Arabidopsis thaliana: one gene and its partner. The protein of the gene in region 1 purifies or fractionates together with the protein of each later gene. This does not show direct contact. Each region holds a gene or a part of one and is shown on either strand. Other genes may lie near its edges.

What was found.
Region 2: the proteins of emb1796 (region 1) and MCM3 fractionate together in Arabidopsis thaliana (co-fractionation; one large-scale study listed by BioGRID). This does not show direct contact.

The regions. Positions count from the first base shown.
Region 1 is NC_003074.8:18,253,771-18,258,703, forward strand, and holds emb1796 (Pentatricopeptide repeat (PPR) superfamily protein), read left to right. Parts: upstream 1-2,190; 5' UTR 2,191-2,315; coding exon 2,316-4,205; 3' UTR 4,206-4,433; downstream 4,434-4,933. Other genes in the region: AT3G49230 (uncharacterized protein), read left to right, coding at 635-762, 1,080-1,137; DMS3 (defective in meristem silencing 3), read right to left, coding at 4,843-4,863.
Region 2 is NC_003076.8:18,769,051-18,775,736, forward strand, and holds MCM3 (Minichromosome maintenance (MCM2/3/5) family protein), read right to left. Parts: upstream 4,654-6,686; 5' UTR 4,557-4,653; coding exon 4,494-4,556; intron 4,399-4,493; coding exon 4,298-4,398; intron 4,110-4,297; coding exon 3,901-4,109; intron 3,802-3,900; coding exon 3,671-3,801; intron 3,579-3,670; coding exon 3,340-3,578; intron 3,266-3,339; coding exon 3,029-3,265; intron 2,928-3,028; coding exon 2,773-2,927; intron 2,660-2,772; coding exon 2,451-2,659; intron 2,367-2,450; coding exon 2,207-2,366; intron 2,121-2,206; coding exon 1,924-2,120; coding exon of another isoform or gene 1,912-1,923; exon of another isoform or gene 1,841-1,911; coding exon 1,781-1,840; exon of another isoform or gene 1,694-1,780; coding exon 1,604-1,693; coding exon of another isoform or gene 1,592-1,603; exon of another isoform or gene 1,512-1,591; coding exon 1,309-1,511; coding exon of another isoform or gene 1,305-1,308; exon of another isoform or gene 1,219-1,304; coding exon 999-1,218; intron 909-998; coding exon 852-908; 3' UTR 599-851; downstream 1-598. Other genes in the region: AT5G46270 (Disease resistance protein (TIR-NBS-LRR class) family), read right to left, coding at 29-40; KASI (3-ketoacyl-acyl carrier protein synthase I), read right to left, coding at 5,389-5,456, 5,539-5,605, 5,677-5,826, 5,926-6,039, 6,149-6,322, 6,592-6,686.

The DNA of each region.
Region 1 (4,933 bases):
TCCACTCTCCAGAGGTATTATTTAATAATAGATGAACACTCGAGGATAATTTTCCCTTGTTTTCTTGACAGTGAAGAAGTAATTATTGACTGATGTGTGATATATATGCCATGCATAAAAAGTTAAACTAGTTTGATTAAACGTAACTTATATGCTTCTTTTGTGTGTCAAAAGAAGGGCTAAAAGTCCAGACTCAAGCAACATTATTGTGTTTAACCGACTAAATGTTTCGAAAATTATTGGATTTTTTTTTGTATTCACACATTTTAATGTTGGATACAAAATAATTCAAACATTCAAAAAACAAATATGAATTGGATGTGTCGGTGATGAGTGGTGAGAGCCGGAGAGAGGAGCTCATGTGATTGAAGTCCATAGGTCACGGCCCACGACCGACACTCACTGTGGGGGCCACGATTTTGGGAACTCATATGTTCCAGTCATGTTCGACTTAACAAAGAATACCAAACATCATTTTCGTCACTTTCCAATTAAAATGCTTTCTTACGTTATACATTACTATAATTTATCATTCATTAAAACTTAAAATTGATGCAAATTCAGATTATATTTTCATTACACCAAAGGTCCAAATATATAATACACAAATGCAAATGCTAAGTCGCATACTCGCATGTCAAGTGACACCCAGGCGGACATGGCTGTTTTTGGGTTTTTGCGGATAGACGGTCACTTGGTTCATCACTTGCGAGATGGACTCGTGCTGCAATATACTTCGACTCTCTACCATTCTATTTTTAGGTAATGTTATTTCTACAACCTTTAAAGTTAGGAATAATTTAATTGTTATTACTATATAGTAGAAGTATATTTCCAAAATTCCAAAGACTGTATAGAATCGATCAAATTAATCTCAGATACCAAGCCAGATAGATTAACAAATTACTTACCAGAATATATAACAAGGAGGGAAAGAAAAGTGAATATGTTCAAAAAAACTATTCATTTTCACGGAGACCTTTTGTTCTACCTACGGATATATATTGGCTAACTTTTTTTTGGTAAAAAGTTAAATTTTATACCAATTTTCTAATTTTTTCTCTACAATGCTGAAACAGCTTATTTAAAAAAGCAACAATTAGAAAGGGAAGGAGATACAACCAAAGTAGAAACTAAGAAGAGAAATAGAAGAAGAAGGAGGACCAGGGAAGGATAGAAGGCGGTCTCTAACGGTGCGGTCCACGGCAGCCTTAGTCACAGAAGCCGAAGTGGAGATGTTGGTGAAGATCCTTGCATTTCGTTCGCGCCAAATGAGATAGCACGCAACCTGAGCGATGAGCTTGATGATGACAGAAGAGAGAGTTTGAGGTTGGAGCTTGCGCTGTAAAATCTAAGATGAGACTGAGAGAAGATCCAAGGGTGGCAAGCGCCAAACTTTAGAAGTTAAAGCTTCCCAAACAGAGGAAGAGAAGGGGCATTCGAAGAATAAGTATCGATGAGTCTCGATGCCAGCAGAACAGAGAACACAAGCTGAGGTGACGTTAATACCCCAGCCCCGCAACCTGTCCTTAGTAGGCAATCTGCCCAGGAACGCAAGCCACATAATAAATGAGTAGCGCGGAACTAACTTGATTTTGGAGTCAATAATCCATAGCTTGCTTTTCAAATATCTTTTTGTTTTTTTTGTTTTCCACGTTTTTCAAATATCTGTTGGACCATTTTGTCTTAGATTTAGATTCAATAACTTTTGCTATACTATACTGTGTATTCTTCTTGTACTAAATTTTGTAAAAACTGAATACCCAAACAAAAAAATACATGAAATACAAGTATTTTATTTAAAATTTAGACCTGTTCTCTTATTCGTTGGACTAAATATACAATAATAAATGGATAAATTATTTATAAAATAACAGTTATAAGATAGAAAAAAAATTACTACGGATGTGGTACAACAAATTTCTCGTTAAGAGAGATATGGGCCGGTCGAAGTGCCGGCCTCTATAGATAAGCCGGCACCGCGTATATTACGCACAACGTATTCCGCTCTTTTTTTGTTACATCATTGTGCAGAATGCAGATTCCTAACCAAAGAAAAAGAAAGTTTTTAAAAATATTTAATTATAATTATATGATGAAATCAAGAATGGGTCCTCCAAAAATCGAGCTTATGGCCCAATAAAGCCCAAACGTAAATAGCCAAGCCCAAGCATATTTATCCACGTTCCCAAACAATCCCTAAACCTCATCATCATCATCTCCAAACTCCTAAAACCCTAACAAGAACCCTTATCTCTCTCATTTCCTCTGAAAGGAATCATTTTTCCACTCAGAAAATCTCAAACATTTCAACCATGTCGATTTCTAAAGCCGCCTTTTTAAACCACCTTCAAACACTATCAAGATCCTACCGCCACCGTGTTCTGCCGCAGCCATTTCTCGCCGTCCGATACATGTCATTCGCGACTCAGGAAGAAGCCGCCGCTGAACGTCGCCGTCGTAAGCGTCGTCTTCGTATGGAGCCACCGGTTAATTCATTCAACAGATCTCAGCAACAACAATCTCAAATCCCTCGACCAATTCAAAACCCTAATATCCCGAAATTACCTGAATCTGTCTCTGCTCTCGTTGGGAAACGTCTCGATCTTCATAATCATATCCTGAAATTGATCCGAGAGAATGATTTAGAAGAAGCTGCTCTGTACACTCGTCACTCTGTGTATTCGAATTGCCGTCCCACGATTTTCACTGTGAATACTGTTTTAGCGGCGCAGCTTCGACAAGCTAAGTATGGAGCGCTTCTGCAATTGCATGGATTCATTAATCAAGCTGGTATTGCACCTAATATCATCACATACAATTTGATATTCCAGGCTTATCTTGATGTAAGGAAACCTGAAATTGCGTTGGAGCATTACAAGTTGTTTATAGATAATGCTCCATTGAATCCTTCTATTGCTACTTTTAGGATTTTAGTTAAGGGTTTAGTTAGTAATGACAATCTTGAGAAAGCAATGGAGATTAAAGAGGATATGGCTGTTAAAGGTTTTGTGGTGGATCCTGTTGTTTATAGTTATCTAATGATGGGGTGTGTGAAGAATTCTGATGCTGATGGTGTGTTAAAGCTTTATCAGGAGTTAAAGGAGAAGCTTGGTGGGTTTGTTGATGATGGTGTGGTTTATGGGCAATTGATGAAGGGGTATTTCATGAAGGAGATGGAGAAAGAGGCTATGGAGTGTTATGAGGAAGCTGTTGGAGAGAATTCAAAGGTTAGGATGAGTGCTATGGCTTATAATTATGTGCTGGAGGCTTTGAGTGAGAATGGGAAGTTTGATGAGGCTTTGAAGTTGTTTGATGCGGTGAAAAAGGAACATAATCCACCGAGGCATTTGGCTGTAAATTTGGGAACTTTTAATGTGATGGTTAATGGGTACTGTGCTGGAGGAAAGTTTGAGGAAGCTATGGAGGTTTTTAGGCAAATGGGTGATTTTAAGTGTAGTCCTGATACTTTATCGTTCAACAATCTGATGAATCAGCTGTGTGACAACGAGTTGTTGGCTGAGGCTGAGAAGCTTTATGGTGAAATGGAAGAGAAAAATGTGAAGCCTGATGAGTACACATATGGTTTGTTAATGGATACTTGTTTCAAGGAAGGTAAGATAGATGAAGGAGCTGCGTATTACAAAACAATGGTTGAGTCTAATCTAAGACCAAATTTGGCTGTGTATAACCGTTTGCAAGATCAGTTGATCAAAGCTGGGAAACTCGACGATGCAAAATCTTTCTTCGATATGATGGTGAGCAAACTCAAGATGGACGATGAGGCTTACAAATTCATCATGAGGGCGTTAAGTGAAGCTGGTAGACTCGACGAGATGCTCAAGATTGTGGATGAGATGCTGGATGATGACACGGTAAGAGTGAGTGAGGAACTGCAAGAGTTTGTGAAAGAAGAACTGAGGAAAGGAGGAAGAGAGGGAGATCTGGAGAAACTAATGGAAGAGAAAGAGAGATTGAAAGCAGAGGCAAAGGCGAAAGAGTTAGCAGATGCAGAAGAGAAGAAGAAGGCTCAAAGTATTAACATAGCTGCATTAATTCCTCCAAAAGCAGTGGAAGAAAAGAAAGAAACCGCAAAACTGCTTTGGGAAAACGAAGCTGGTGGTGTTGAAGAAGCCGATGTGGTGGAGATGGCTAAAGGAGTAGAAGCAGGTGGATCCAATGGTCAGGATCCACCGTCCTGCTGATCTTATTTTTTTCCTTGAATTCATTAGACTCTAGTTATCTTCTTATCATTCAACTTTTATGTAATTAGGGATTTGTTTGGGACAATAAGCTATGATTAATCTTTTGCTATAATGCAGGTGTTTGCAAAATCTTTTTTCCATGTTTGCTTTTGATTTCAAATTAACATGCTATGTAGAACATTTGTTTTAGTGGATGGTCTATGTAATCATTTCTTTATTACTCAATTTGGTGCATTATATACGTAACAAGAAATTGTAAATCTTATCCATTTGGGACAAAGATTTGAAGTGAGGAAAGACTGTATTCCAACTACATGAAGCAATAGAAACTGAGCATCTGATTAGAAAGCCTAGAAGATTGATTATGTACACAGCAAACTGGTCAAGTCAAAAGCAAAACAGACAGAGATTGGAAACAGCATAACCAAAACTAACCGATCTACTACCCTTCAAGGAAATTTATTAAAATCTAGTATATCTGATAAGATGCATTCCATGGAAGCAATCTATCAAAAACTTAGCTGGAAACAAGTTCTTATAGTCAAAATAGGCTTCCTACTTATAGTCAAAATAGGCTTCCTATAGAAGCAAGGGTCACTGTAACTCCGAGCTCTATGCTTCTTTGCTTGCTTTTTTTTCATCTGGGTGTGTTCATTGGCTGGGGCACCACCAACACATAAACAGACCAATGTTAGCCATATAAAACTTTCAGATAGAGGTATTTGAAG
Region 2 (6,686 bases), on another chromosome or scaffold:
CATAGCCTCTAATGTCTTATCCCCTTACATTACTACACATACGTCTCACTTTATGATTACTTTAAGAATTTAGAATTCTTAGAGTGGAGACAAGTTTCTCTTGCTCATGGCCTTAACATTTCTGAGAAGCTCTGGTCTGAATCAGAGACATGTATGGCCTAACTACGTAAGTTTATTTAGTAACTCAATTGTTTTGACTAGGGTTGATAGAGAAACGTGTGCAGTAACCTACCAAAATAGATTTTGTTATTTGGCAACAAAAAAAAAAATAGATTTTGTTGTATTACTCTGTATACCAAAACTGATTTCAATCCGTCTTTGTGGAATTTAACCTGATTATATGTACAATTTTAGAAACGTATAGGATCCATCATGGACAAAGCAAACATGTTTTGGAAAAAAAAAAAAAAAGTAATAGAGACCAAATGGAAAAACATGGATCTTTTAGACGAGAGAGTTCCAAGGTAGTGATTATTAGGGTTTTGAAGTTGGCTTATATATGGCACAACTCTATTCTTACCATTGGGTTAAAACAACATATACACTATAATCTTGATGTCGATTACATATGTATAAAATTTGGCATAAACAGCTCAAGAAATTATAGGATAAATATGAAAGTATTTTATTCTCGGATTGTGCTTTTCGTTATAAATTCCAAATTTTATAATCAGATGCGTTTTTTTAAGCATTTTATCATCAGTTTTACTTCACTAGTAAATGCAAAAAACATAACGTATGAATAAAGATTTTACAAAATGATATTTTGGTTTCCAAGAGTTTACTACTACACTATTTTTGAGTTCTAATATGATGATGATGATGCAATCAATATTGATTTCTTCATATGATCAAATGATATGAACTTTGCCATCGCTGATCATCACTTTGTTATCATCTTGCAGTTTCTGCATAAAATCCACAATAGAGTAAAGTTATGAAGATATTGTATAAAAAGTTAAAGAATGAGAAAGCTTGTCTCTTAATTTGTGAATTACCTCTAAGAGAGCCATAATCTCATCTGCAGAGTAACGAGATGCTCCAACCCCATTGTTGTTGACAACAGTCTCTATATCTGCAATAGAGATGTCATCGAGCCTGTGTGTCCTCATGTGCTGCCCAAACACTCGCTCAAAGGTTTCAATCCTTGCTGCAGAGACCGTGCCGCTGAATTGCTCTACAGAAGGTTCATCTACTTCCATTGGATCTGCTGTTTCACTGAATGGACCAGCAAAAGAGAAAGAAAAAAGTATAAGGGTTGAGAAAGCTGTGATATAGGTTTCCATGGAGGAGATCAAATTAGTTTACCTGTCGACATTTGCAGTGTCATTCTCTGCTCCATCTTCATTATTCCTGCGTTGGTTGCCTCTACGTCCACTTGGTGTTCTTTCTTGTTCAGCTTGTTCCCTTTGACGTTCTTCTTGCTCACGATCATCCATCTCAGTTAATTCTTGATGATATATTGCAAAGTTCATAAGCTTCAAGGCAGCCTCTGCATCAGCTTTAGTAACCTTTCAAAATAAAGTTATCACTTTAGAAAGAATCTGAATAGAACATATTCACGACCAGGTGGGGAAACAGAAGATTTGAGTTAGATTGTTACCTCGCTACTCAACTTCATTTTGGCATGTGCCGTAGCAAGACGAATTATTGTCTCTAGAGTTCTGGCTGTTATCGGAAGCGTACCTCCAGTCTGCAGAGATTTCGATGGTTGTGTCAAATACAAGTTCCCAAGACGAAAAAGATACAGTGTCCAATGTTATTTTATGAAATAAATTACCTTAGTATCGGAACCTGCATTTCTGAGATCTGCATATGCTTCTGCAATACGTTCCGATGCCTGCAAATTTAATAACAAAAGAGATTTAGTGGAAGAGATTATCAGATACATAAAAATTTATATATTTGAGTTCACTGTCTCACTTCATCAGTGAGCTTTGGTGTAATACGGTGCTTGGCGTAATGAATGTACTTCTTCAAGAACTTAATCGTAAGGGTTTTATCATGTGTTTGGCCTCTTTTCTTCTTCCCATGTAGTGTTTGGTTATACTTAACAAACATTTCACTCTCAGCATTGTCTTCTCTCGCGTAAGGCAAGCTCCCATCTGGCCCTGCCTCACCTATGGTTCACTCAAAAGTCAGATGCGTTTCAAGACATGGGTTGTGAAATGTTTAGTAAAACATAGAAGCATGATTTGTTTCCTACCTCTATCGTTCTTGTAACGATGCATGCGCAAGACATGTTCTGAAATCATGCTGTCGATACCAGCATCCATTTGATCCAACACAATAAACAGTAGATCAAAACGAGAAAGCAGCGAATCTGGAAGTCCAATGTTCTTTGTTGGAGTCAGTGATCTGTCATACTGCAGGAGCAAGAGTAGGTATTAGGACAAAAAAATACTAGTCAGTAGAGTAAGTAGATTAGGAAAACTTCGGTGAGAACTTACAGTTCCGTATATGGGATTTGCAGCTGCAACCACACTGCATCTAGCATTCAGTGATGCATGGATACCGGCTTTTGCAATTGTTACAGTCTGTTGCTCCATCACTTCGTGTATAGCAACTCGGTCCTGATCATTCATCTTATCAAACTCGTCAATGCACACGATACCTTTATCAGCGAGGACCATTGCACCAGCTTCTAGTCTTCGTTCCCCTGATGAAAATGAGAATTTGATTTTAATGAGAAATAGCACTTTTGACCTTCCTTCAAATTTTGATTTTAGCATTTGATAAAAAAATGTGGAAACGCTTTTGTGTGCTTTTTACCTGTTTCTTGGTCAGAAGTCACAGCAGCAGTTAACCCAACACCGGAAGAACCACGGCCTGTGGTTGATATAGCCAAAGGTGCAATATTCATTATCGCTCTCAGAAGTTGAGATTTGGCAACAGATGGATCACCAACCATCATCATGTTGATGTCTCTGAAAGCACAAGATTTGTTTTCAAGTGAAGAAAGAAAAATGAGTTAGACAAAAAGTATCCAATGAGTCGAATCTGAAATCTGTTTTCAAGCAAGACTTACCCCCTCAAGTGGGTTCCGTTCTTCAGGTTCTTTTCAACACCACCAAGCATCAGTAAAACTACTGCTTTCTTTATCCAAGCGTGCCCATAAATAGAAGGTGCTAAGGAACGAGCAAGGAGATCAAATGCATCATCTCTTCGTGCAATATTTTTAATGTTATCTAGGTCTTGCTTAGTGTATATAGGTGCATTTGCTTCTTTATTGAGCAGAGCGATATTATTGGCTATGAGGATAGTCCTACACAGAAAGAACTCGGTCAAGACTATCAGAGTGAAAACATCTTGAACTAACAGATGTGTAAGAAAACGCACCTAAAGACTCCATTTACACTACCCTTGCTTTTTCCAGGAAGAGCTTTGTAAATACCGAAAACAGATACTCGATCTCCTGGCTTGCATGAGTCAACAAGGTCATCCTCAGCAATGACATCAACGCTTCGTGGAAGCTGACCAGGAGCAGCATTTTCAGGCACTTCTTGAATTGACAAGGTCTGGTGATCTTTGTATTTGCACAGCCCATACTCAGTCACCAATAAGTTTCCCTTATCATCCTGAACAAAAAAAAACTCAATCTTCAGTAAGAGGCAAATCTTCCAGCAGTACAGGTAAATGAACAAAACGAAAACAAAAAACATGTAATTACCCTTGTGGGATAGACAGAGCCAGTGGGTAAACCAGCGTGAGATGTTATGTCTCGATAATCTCGATTGGTAAATTCACCGGTTGATGGACAAAAGTGAACGCTTTTAACAACCTTTGGCCTCACAAGAGAGCCTGAAAGCAAAGCATGTGTCAGAGGTTCAAAATCTTCTACGTAAAACACAAAGGAAACAGAAGAAAAGCAGAGGAATAGAGTGAAAATGATGAGCTTACATTTGGTGACAATGCCCTCAACACAGACCATAGATCCAATAAAATCAGAGAGAAGCTCTCTAGGAGTAACAACGCGAGAAACAAAATAACCTTCAAAACCAACAAGGACAAGCTCTCCTTCCTTCAAGTATTTAGGGTCAATAGCACGAGTAGCTTCAGTGGCTGCGTCACAAAATGACTGCATATACTCATTTGGATTCTTCAGTATCCTATCCAAAAAAACCAAAGCAATCAACTTTAAGGTCACAAAACATATGACAATTGTAGTGAATCCTTAAAAATCCCCAAATTAACCTCACTGAATCTAACAAAACCCTAAAATCTGCCGTAAATTCATAACCTTATACTAAAGAACCGATTAAAAATTCGAGGAAGACAAATTGAGAAGATGACGAACCTAGAGGCAACTTCCCTGAAGTGGTGGTGAATGTCAGAGATATTAATAATGAGACGGTGACGCTTTTGATGTACCAAAGCCTTGATTTCCTCCATATACATCTACACAATCCGTAAAAAAAATCCAATTTTTCAAATTAGATAAGAACAGAAGCTCGAGAAATGTCTGGTGAGAAAAGTGATAGAAATCGACTTACACTATCGAGGAACTGGATAAAATCTCGCTTGTGGCGAAGCCTCGTCTCCTCTGGCACATCCATTTCTTAACAAAATCTGGGTTCTTCGTAAGAACTTTTCTTCTTCTACTTAAAAAAAAAAAACTGATTAGAGATTTTCGATTTCCGATTTCGAGAGGCATAAAGGGCGGATCTTCTCCTTATGGCGGGATTTCGTGAGATAACCTGTACCCTTTTTGGCGGGAAGGGTCATTTTGGGCCGATATTAGTTGGGCCTTTCGTCTACGTGCTTTTTGATTAACCAAATTTGGGCCGGTACAATTTTGGACTTACGTCTACGCGCTTGTTTGGCGCGTTTGATTTCCTCAAGGCGGTATAATACACCCAGATTCTAAACCAAAAACCAGACATACCAAATCAATTCATTGTAAATTCGGTTTAACTTTTGCTACTGCCTTCAAGCCAGTAAACCGAAAAATGTATATATGAAAACCAAAATAAACCTGTGTGATTTGAGAACATTTTCGGATGTATCACAACATATGTATAACTGAAAAAAAATTCAGTATAAATCTAATTTCTTCGAATGTAAAAACACGACAAGAATTGTTGAGAAATAAAAGATGAGAATCCCCTAATTGGATTATTCTGACAATAACACCGTTACTACAAGATTCTCTCAGTTTCTGTTTTTATAAATTACGCAAATATGGAACGAACTAAGATACACAACATTCCGCAGACAAGAGAGAGAACAAACAAAATCTGAAATCTCAGCAACCGTAAGAAACGGGGAATGAAAGAACCGCAAAAGGCCAGAGGAAGAGCTCCAACTTGTGAACCAAGAAGCTGCAAGTGGTGGTGATGGATGATGATAGTAACCGATAGGGCAGAGAATCTAAAAGGTATGAAGAAATCAGGGTTTGAAGGCAGAGAAGGCGACTACCGAGTTGTGTCCACCGAACCCGAACGAGTTTGATATGGCTGCAGCAAAACAGAAAGACATTAATCAGTGAAACTGTTGCCAGTTTAATCCAATGAGAAGGCGGTCATGTTTGTCACTTACCAACATCAACCTCGTGTTGCTTCTTCTCGTTTGGGACCGTGTCAAAGTCCACAGCTTGTTCTGGGTTCTACAATGAGAAAACAAAGAGTGTGAGAGTCTAATACAATGACCAAGTTCAAATCTTGCAACAGTTCAAACTGAAAGCGGAATCAAAGAAGCCTTTTCTTGACTTCCTGTTATACGTACAAATTGGTTGATGGAAGGATGCAGCCATCCAGTGTTGATAGCCTTCACGGTGGCGATGGCTTCTAGACCTCCAGCTGCACCGAGGCAGTGACCTATCATAGACTGTAACAGAAACTGTCATTCACAGGAAATGCAAAGCAAACAAATACATTGAAATAGAGGAGAAGAAGAACACTCAATCATAGAGCATTGGGGACGAACCTTGGTGGCGTTGATTTTGATCCCTGAAGTGCTCTTGAATACCTTTTTAATGGCATTAATCTCAGCAAGATCACCAGCAAGAGTGGAAGTTGCATGTGCATTGATGTAATTTACCTGAAAAACGTGGAATGAATATAAGTAGGGAAGTAACACGAATCTAATGAAGAAATTTGTTTCAGATAGCCTTAAAACTTAGGAAGCATGAAAAGTTTGTGTTTTTTACCTCCTCAGGTGATACACCAGCATCTTCCAGGCATCTTTCAATGCATGAAGAAACCCCAAGACCATCAGCTCTTGGATCAGTCATATGGTGAGCATCACAATTAACAGCACCTCCAAGATATTCTGCTACAATTGGAGCACCACGTTTCATTGCATGTTCCAAGCTTTCCATCACCTATTAGGGCATACAACAATTAGTGGGTCTCTCCAAAACAAAATGTCACATGTATGAGCCAATCTCATGGTGAGATAAACCAACTTTGAAAATGTAGTACAATTCAAGTGCAAGGAAACTTCCAGAGCTAATAGACTAGGGAACACAAGTTTCATCAGATTCTATAAACTAAGACCAAAACAGGCTCTTATATACAATTCAAAACAGAGCAAGCCAAATGTATGTAGATTCATAGTATCAATGAGAGATTAAGAATTTGTGAAACATACCAGAACACCAGCTCCTTCACCCATAACAAACCCATCTCTTGCTTTATCCCACGGCCTGGAAGCAGTTTGAGGGTCATCATTTCTCTGGGACAATG